2 linked regions of the Mus musculus genome follow. The protein of the gene in region 1 interacts with the protein of each later gene in a pairwise test. Links are inferred from orthologs where the notes say so. Each region holds a gene or a part of one and is shown on either strand. Other genes may lie near its edges.

Evidence for each region.
Region 2: the proteins of Map1a (region 1) and Rhob interact in a two-hybrid assay, tested with the Homo sapiens proteins (2 studies listed by BioGRID and IntAct). The link is inferred for Mus musculus from reciprocal best matches to the Homo sapiens genes MAP1A and RHOB.

Annotation. Positions count from the first base shown.
Region 1 is NC_000068.7:121,296,102-121,299,601, reverse strand, and holds part of Map1a (microtubule-associated protein 1A), read right to left. Parts: intron 3,328-3,500; exon of another isoform or gene 3,248-3,327; intron 1,006-3,247; coding exon 923-1,005; intron 697-922; coding exon 556-696; intron 334-555; coding exon 1-333. UniProt on the Homo sapiens protein: Structural protein involved in the filamentous cross-bridging between microtubules and other skeletal elements.
Region 2 is NC_000078.6:8,497,210-8,501,443, forward strand, and holds Rhob (rho-related GTP-binding protein RhoB), read right to left. Parts: upstream 2,801-4,234; 5' UTR 2,424-2,800; coding exon 1,833-2,423; 3' UTR 452-1,832; downstream 1-451. UniProt on the Homo sapiens protein: Mediates apoptosis in neoplastically transformed cells after DNA damage. Not essential for development but affects cell adhesion and growth factor signaling in transformed cells. Plays a negative role in tumorigenesis as deletion causes tumor formation.

The DNA of each region.
Region 1 (3,500 bases):
CAGGATGTTAAAGCCATTGACAGCAAAGAGAGCAGAGTCCCCACGGCCACCAGGGAAGATGTAACAGCAAGGCTTGGAGAGCTTGAGGAAGCCTCCTGAGGTGGGGGGCTCAAGCAGGTCAAAGGGGGACGGCACATCCACCGTCTCAGAGACATACTCGGAGAACTCGGCCACTCCATCCATGGTGGGCAGCACAGGCTCAGGATTTAGCCGGAGGTGCAAGGTCTCTTGGGAACTAGACAGTCCCAGGTGGCTCCAGTCACCCTCCCCTAAGCAGGAAACAGTGAGGAAGGCCTGGATCCCAGGGTCTCTATTGCTAAGCAACTGGGCAATCTAGAGGAATAGGAAAGAGAAGCTGATCAAATCATTGGGGTTATCTTAGTCTGACCCAGATTCAGCCCCTACTCTTTACCTTTTTCTGAGGTAAAATGCCTACCTCCTGTCAGGGTTCCTGATAGTCAGTGTTTATAAGACTTCCCCTCCCTTGCCTTTCTCCCTACAACTTAAGTCCTGCCTCCTGTCCCCTTCTTCCAAGACACGCAGCAGGGAACTCACCTCAGGTTTGTGAAGGACCTGGGCGAAGTTTTGATATGAGTAAGTACCACTCTGTAGGATAAGGTCTCCCTCGGGTTCTAAAGTTTGTCCACTCAAGATGAGGAGTTTGTGAGCTGATGGGCTACTAAGAAGATGGTGAACCTGAAATGGAGGGCAGAGAAGGCACAGGTATGGGGCACCCAGGGAAAGGCACTGAAAATCCCTGCCCTGCCCCCTTCAGTGATATAAGGACACATTCCTCACTCCGTATTCCCCAGAGTGGGGCTGAGGATCACAAGTCAGTTCAGATAGTAGCCCGAGGTATAGTGGCGCCGCCAAGGGTCGGTTATAGCACTCAGAACAAGCGAGGCGCAGGCACTGGCCTTACCTCTGAGCTGATGCTGTCTGCAGTGGGGTTGACTAGGATGATGGTCTCGAGGGTCTCACTCTGGTGGCAGAGGGTCCTCTGGCCTGAGGGAGAGATGTAGGCATGTGTACTGAAATCAGTAGGTATTGATTTAAAATGAGAAGTACTGGGGGGGGGGGCACAGGGGAGGAAAAACAAATGATCAGAAAATGGGGTACAGGGTACCCAGTCATCTAGGATGCCACTAAGGGAGGCCTGGGAACTGCCTCCTCCAGCCCTTCCCTTTCCAGGGTTCTCCCTCCTCTCCCCCACGGTAGCAGACTTCTCCCTTCCCTCCATCTGCCACACCCTCCGATGCTGCCCAGTCCCCGCCCTTTTGCCTAGAACTTCAGCCCCAGACAGCTCTGTTGACAAGGAGCTTTTTGTCCCTCTGGAGCACTAAGTTCCTGGTGCTGCCTGGGGATTGGGGGTGGGGGGAGGGCTCCAGGGATGGCGGTCTTTACGGAGCTTTCTCTGCCTTTGCCCGCGGCTGGCAGTAAGGAGTTAGGCGCTTCTGTCTCAGATTCCCCTTCCTTTCCACCCCAAGTCCCCTACCCAAGGACAGAACACCTGTAATAGAAGATGATGGAGACACGTGGCAACTGGTTTCTTGGAGGGGACAGAGGATTCTAACTTGCTATTTTGTTTTCTGACTCTGCCAAGCCTTCCGTGTCAGAGCCGTGCTCCCACCACCGTGCTCCCAAGTATTTCACAGCTCCCTCTCCTCTATCTCCCTCACGTGCCCAGGCTCTAGGGACACCCAGCTCGCTGCAGAACTCATCATCCCTGCGACCAGTTCCCTGCCTCAGAGTACAGAAAGTAAGTGGCTGGCTCAAAACAAGAAACAGGGCCAGCGATGCTCTCTGCCAAGCATCCTAGGACTGGAGGTACAAAGAGGAATGACTCCTGCAAGCTGTTTTTTGACCTACCTATACACGCACACACAGACAGACAGACACACAGACACAGACACAAACACAGACACACACACACACACACACACACACACACACACACCACAGAATTAAAAACAATAGCAAGCAGGGCATGGTGGTGGCGTACACCTTTAATCGGGAGGCAAAGGCAGTTGGGTTTCTATGAATTCAAAGCCAGTTAAGTTCCAGGACAGCCAGAGCCACACAGAGAATTCTATCCCAAAACACCTAGCCAAATAAAAAGCAGGACCGCCAACAACAGCCAAGGCATTGCTTAGGATGGGGGGGGGGGGGCAGATCCTCTCCCCAGGGCTTTCTCCAGACCCACATAAAACACTAAGCAGTGAAAGTAAAGAACACAGTGGGTGAGAAAGAGGCTAAGAAGGATGGACCCGACTTCCCAGGTTCCTGCCTTCCCATCTGCCTCCTCTTCCAGCACAGTAGCAGTCACCGTAGGGTTAACCTTAGGGGCAGCTGGAGGATACTGGGGAGGGGAGGCTCAGAGTCCGTTCCCTGGAGCCCTCTTCGGCGACTCCAACTCCCTTTTCTTTTCTGAGGCTGGGACAAGGGTGACTGGGGCCAGGGCCTTTGTTTAGAGGAAGAGCCTTGATGCCAAGGAGCAGGCAGCAGATGCAACTATGGGGAAGATGAAGGTGTCAGAGACCCAAATCCTATGCAGGGCCTGTTGGGTCCTCTTCTGTGAACTTGGGAGTGGAGGGACACTTTGGCACAGGCAGGCAGGAGCAGGGCTTACGCAGCCTGGGCTATCTCCATCCTCTGCCAGTCTTAAGTCAGACTTAGAAGAGCCAGGACTCCCCCATCACAAACAAGGTCACACTTCAATCTAGGTAGAACAGAAAGACACGTCCTCTCCAGCTACCATCTCCCTACTCCAGCAGCTTCACGGTCCCCAGTGTATCCTCACAAGACCTTTGACCCCACTTCCTGGCCTGACACAGGACCCCCAGCCCCACTCCTGGGGAGCTAGTCCATTACATCGCTCCTTATCCTGGGAGAAGCCTGGTTTCTCTCTTCTGCCCCCCAGCTCTTCCAATGAAGGGAATTGCCGGGTTTTTTTTCCCCTTTATCTTTGCAGAAGACTATCTTAAGAGATTGGGGCGCTTCCCACAGCCAGTGCTGTGGTTGGGGGTGGGCTTCGGGTGTGAAGCTGAGTGGGCAGGAGGGCAGGTGTCTCTGCAGTGAGGCGGGGGGGGGGGTGCTCAGGCAGCTGCAGTCTGCCGCAGTGTGTGAGTGTGTGTGTGTGTGTGTGCGCGCTAAGCTCAGCCTCCAGCTCCAGCTCCGCCCCCACCCCCCACCCCAGCATGACAAGTCATTTTCTTGGCTGCCTCTGCATGGGGGGTGGGGGGTAGGGATGGGGGTGCATGCAGAGCAGGAGAAGAAACTGGCTTCTGTTGGAAGAGCCCCCATCTTGGGAAGGAAAGCACAGATGAGGTGAGGGTGGGGCCGAGGCAGGGAACCCGTGGGGTTGACAGGACGGAGAATGCAGGGCAGCTGCTGAAGAGCCAGGGCTCTCAAGCTCCTGAGTTGCCTCAGAGAGGCCACAGAGGGGGGCTTAAAGCCCCAGGCTCAAGCTGGCCACAGGGAATGGGGTGCGGGGAGCCAAA
Region 2 (4,234 bases), on another chromosome or scaffold:
TCTTAAATTCTAGCCTGGTCCACACATGTGATTAACCACCCCCCTAAAAACATTTTAAATAATAATAATAAAGTCATCTATGTTTAACATTCACAAACAGCAACCTTTCTTATTGTTGAAGTGAGAGTAGTAGAGCCCAGAATAAACTTCAGACACTTCTTAAAGACCTATAGATGAAGTCAAACCAAGACCTTTGTCCTCACCTAATGGGACTAAATTCACAATAATTAGTACACTCTGGGTGTCTGATGGACGACAAGCTTAGCCTCCTCCGGGAATCTGACAGGAATAACCTGGCCTCTCAGGGTCACCCAGCCCCTAAAAGGTGCCAGGCTCATGGCCATATTTACTACTATAGAGAGGCTGCAGTTACTGCCAGAAAGGACCTCCACAAGAACTCTTCCCTTACCCCCAATTCAGACATCTTCTGACACTATTAAGCCACAGGAGCTGTTTATAAATGTCATGATCATAGTCTTTTAATATTTTACATAAAAATCTGTATACACAGCTTATAGAACTCTTATGTAAACATCATAAGTTCACCATTTGTCATCTGTCAGTTTATTTAAAAAAAATAAAACAAAAACAAAACAAGACAATTTAGAAGTACCACTGGGCTGGCGGGGGGGAGAGGGGGGAGGCTTTTCTCTGCACATGGAACGTACAGAAAATTTCACACAGAAGAGACTTGTCTTGTGGGAGGGGGGGTTTAAATAGACCCCAATACCTGTTGCCTTCCTTTACCAAAACTGCGTATGCTACACAAATTTAAAGAAAAAATTCACACTGTTGACATTTTTTTTTCAAGAAAACAAAGCAAAAGTTAGTTGTTTTTGTAATCTTAGAGTCATCATAGTTTTAAAAAAACCATCAGAAGTAGATGAGGTTACAGCATACAAGTGTGGTCAGAATGCTGTCTTATGCAAATGACAAGTACACTGGGTGTCAAACAATGGGACAATTGTGCAAAGAACTCTTTCATCAACAACAAAAAGCTTCAGCGTTTAAATAAATTCAGTAACAATAGTCTCTTGAGCTGAACAATGTTCATTTGTAGGACAGGCACAAAGTTCGCTTATGGCAAAAGTGACCCCACTGCACACCCTGGATCCTCTGCCGGAGGTTCGCTGGGGGTTGGCCCAGGAGACACTGTCTGAGCTGCTTCCTCTCGACCCCAAGTCAGTTGCAAATGTCTTCCCCAGGGTGTGGAAAGATGGCCAAGTCCAGTTCATGCTTGGATGGGTGGGCGCCTGACCCAGCCTGGGAAAGGAGCTGCTCTGGGCCCTGGTCGCCCCACACACCACTAAACAATACCATTCTGCCTCCGAAAATAAAATCTGTATTTATGTAACAGCCCCATCCTCCCCCCAGCCCTCCCCTCCCGCCATTCCAGGGGTCTATGTTACAGACATGGAGCAACAGTAGTGGCTTGCTGGTTACAAGCAAACCTGCTGGGGGCGCAACCACTCTGCGTGCCCCTGGGGAAACCAGAGGCGGGGGTGGGGCAGGAGTCGGGTGGGGTGTAGGGAGTCGTACACACACACAACCACACTTTGAGGCCTGGCTCTTTAGAAAAGGATGCTCAGGAACCCCTTGGCACTCAGCAGGGTGCCCAGGCCTGTGCCACACAGCTGGACACACACAGACACTGGGAAGGGGGAGCTCGGTGCCCACGCTAATTCTCAGCGTGACCAGCCAGAGCCACCAGCAGATGTCAGGCAGTCTGGTGGTGTCCTTGGGGGCATGGGTCTCCCTTTCTCCCGGTTCGTGGGCGACCGGGCCAAGGAGGGGGAGCCACGCTGGCAAGGGCGTGAGGCAGGACGCGTCCCTCATAGCACCTTGCAGCAGTTGATGCAGCCATTCTGGGATCCGTAGCGCTTCTGCAGCGCGGCGCGCGTGGCCGTCTCAAAAACCTCGCGCACGCCCTCCTTGGTCTTGGCCGAGCACTCGAGGTAGTCATAGGCTTGGATGCGCACCGCCATGGCGCGGCCGTCATCCGTGCGCACTGGCTCCTGCTTCATGCGGGCCAGCTCCGTGCGGACATGCTCGTCGCTGCGCAGGTCTTTTTTGTTGGCCACCAGGATGATGGGCACATTGGGGCAGAAGTGCTTTACCTCGGGCACCCACTTCTCGGGGATGTTCTCGAGAGAGTCCGGGCTGTCCACCGAGAAGCACATAAGGATGACGTCGGTGTCCGGATAGGAGAGCGGCCGTAAACGATCGTAGTCCTCCTGGCCTGCCGTGTCCCACAGCGCCAGCTCCACCTGCTTGCCGTCCACCTCGATGTCCGCCACATAGTTCTCGAACACGGTGGGCACGTACACCTCGGGGAATTCGTCTTTACTGAACACGATCAGCAGGCACGTCTTGCCGCACGCGCCGTCGCCCACCACCACCAGCTTCTTGCGGATGGCCGCCATGAGCTCGCCGGGCGCGGGCAGCAGGAGGGGCCCGCGAGCGCCTCGCCGCCGTCCCGCTCCCTGTTGCTTGCCGCTCCCCGCTCTCCCGCGACTGCGCGCTGCGGGCTAGGCTCGCTAACTGCACCTGGACCCCGCGGCGGCGCGGTCTCTCGGGGCGCTCCGGTTGCCTCGGCAGGGGCGCAGGGGCATACGGTGCACTGAGTGTCGCCGCGCCGCTGCCGCGCCGCTGTGGTCCTCGGCGGTCCCGGAGCTGCGCTGCTTTGTGCGAAGTGATGGCTGATGCTGCGGACCCGGCCTAGCTTCTTTCCCGGGGCGGGTTCACTCTAGACCTAGGGTACAGGGGCGCAGACGACGACAACCGAACTGCGGTGGCAGATGCGGGCTGCGGCCCTAGCGCCCGCTATTTAAAGAGTCCGGCCACTTTCTTAATATAGCCACCCAATGGGAAGCCATAGGGCTGAGCTCATCGCTGCGGAGCTTGGCTCCGATTGGTCGCCCGCTGCAGTCCGAAGGCGGGTTCGCCTTAGCTTGATTGACTGCCCTGTCCGCGGGGCTGGGAGAGGCGTTGACTGTGGAGTCTGCGCGGCGACCCGCCCCGTGGGGTTGTGTGGCCGCCGGGTCCCCGCCTTCGTCGCAGCCTCTCTGAGTGCGACATCGTGGAGCAGGCAGCCTGGAGCCCTCCGGGTCTGGGTGGGCAGTTCCGAGACGAGCTACACTCTTGTGGGGCGTTGGCTGCTCCCAGGGCTTCAGCTTTATCTAGCTTCCGAGCGAACTACGGGTGATCAAGCATGGGGGAGGGGCGGCGCCTTTAACGTGGTTTTGTTTTCACTTAAACAGACACCGGTGCACGGTTTTGTTACCTAGCCAAGGGTTTCGTTCTTTCTTAACTTTGTTTAGATAACTAACCCCTCGTGTGCTCTGGGCCGAATTCTGACACTTACCCAGGGCAGCCTTTTCACTGAGAAAGGCTAACAGTAAATTGTGTGGGCCTGGGTGAGTCCCCTCTCGGCTTTCTCTTCAAGGCCCACACTTAGGTCTCCGGGTGAAGAAGATAAGGGGAGGAATCTAGGAGACACACAGCTGTAGGACAAAGGAAAGCGAGGTGCAGGGCACTCCGCTGAAAAAGAAAGCACCCAGCTTGGGCAGGCAACCTTCACCCAGTCCTACCACATTACATCTGATTCTCGCCCTAAAGCCAGAGAACTGCTTGAAGTACACTGTGCAAGGAAACCCATCTATCCCAACAACTCTCATGGAGCAGATGAAAAGCTTCAAGCTGGGAAAGCAGGCATGCGGCCTCGCAGGGAACTTGCCGGTGGGCACACGGTTTCTGTACAGAGGATGGAGTTTCTTCATACACACCAGGTCTTAACTCGTGAATTACCACTTCCTGCAGGAGATGACACCTCTTCCTATCTTAAAGGATTTAAGCCAGTCCACTGTAAGAAATAGGAAAGACAGAAAGCTGCAAAGGGCGTCAAAGAGGGCCTTACCCCGCCCCCAAGAGAAACTGAACAAAGAAAAAGGAGGAAAGAAAGTGGGGAAATGGCTTAACATTGCTGCGTGGGGTCCTCATGGAGGGCTAGGCTAGGGGTACCAGCTAAGAGAAAGCTTTCTCAGTGACCATGTCATGATGACCTTATGACCCATTTCTTTGTCTCTCTCTCTGGACTGTGAGTTGTCCGAGGGCCAGGATTTCCTCCCACCTGAGCATCATGAAGACCTAGCACTATGCTGGGCCCTAAAGAAGCAGTAAAAATGGTCCGTGCAGTGGTAGGCCTGCCCACCTGTAGACCCAGCCACACAGGACG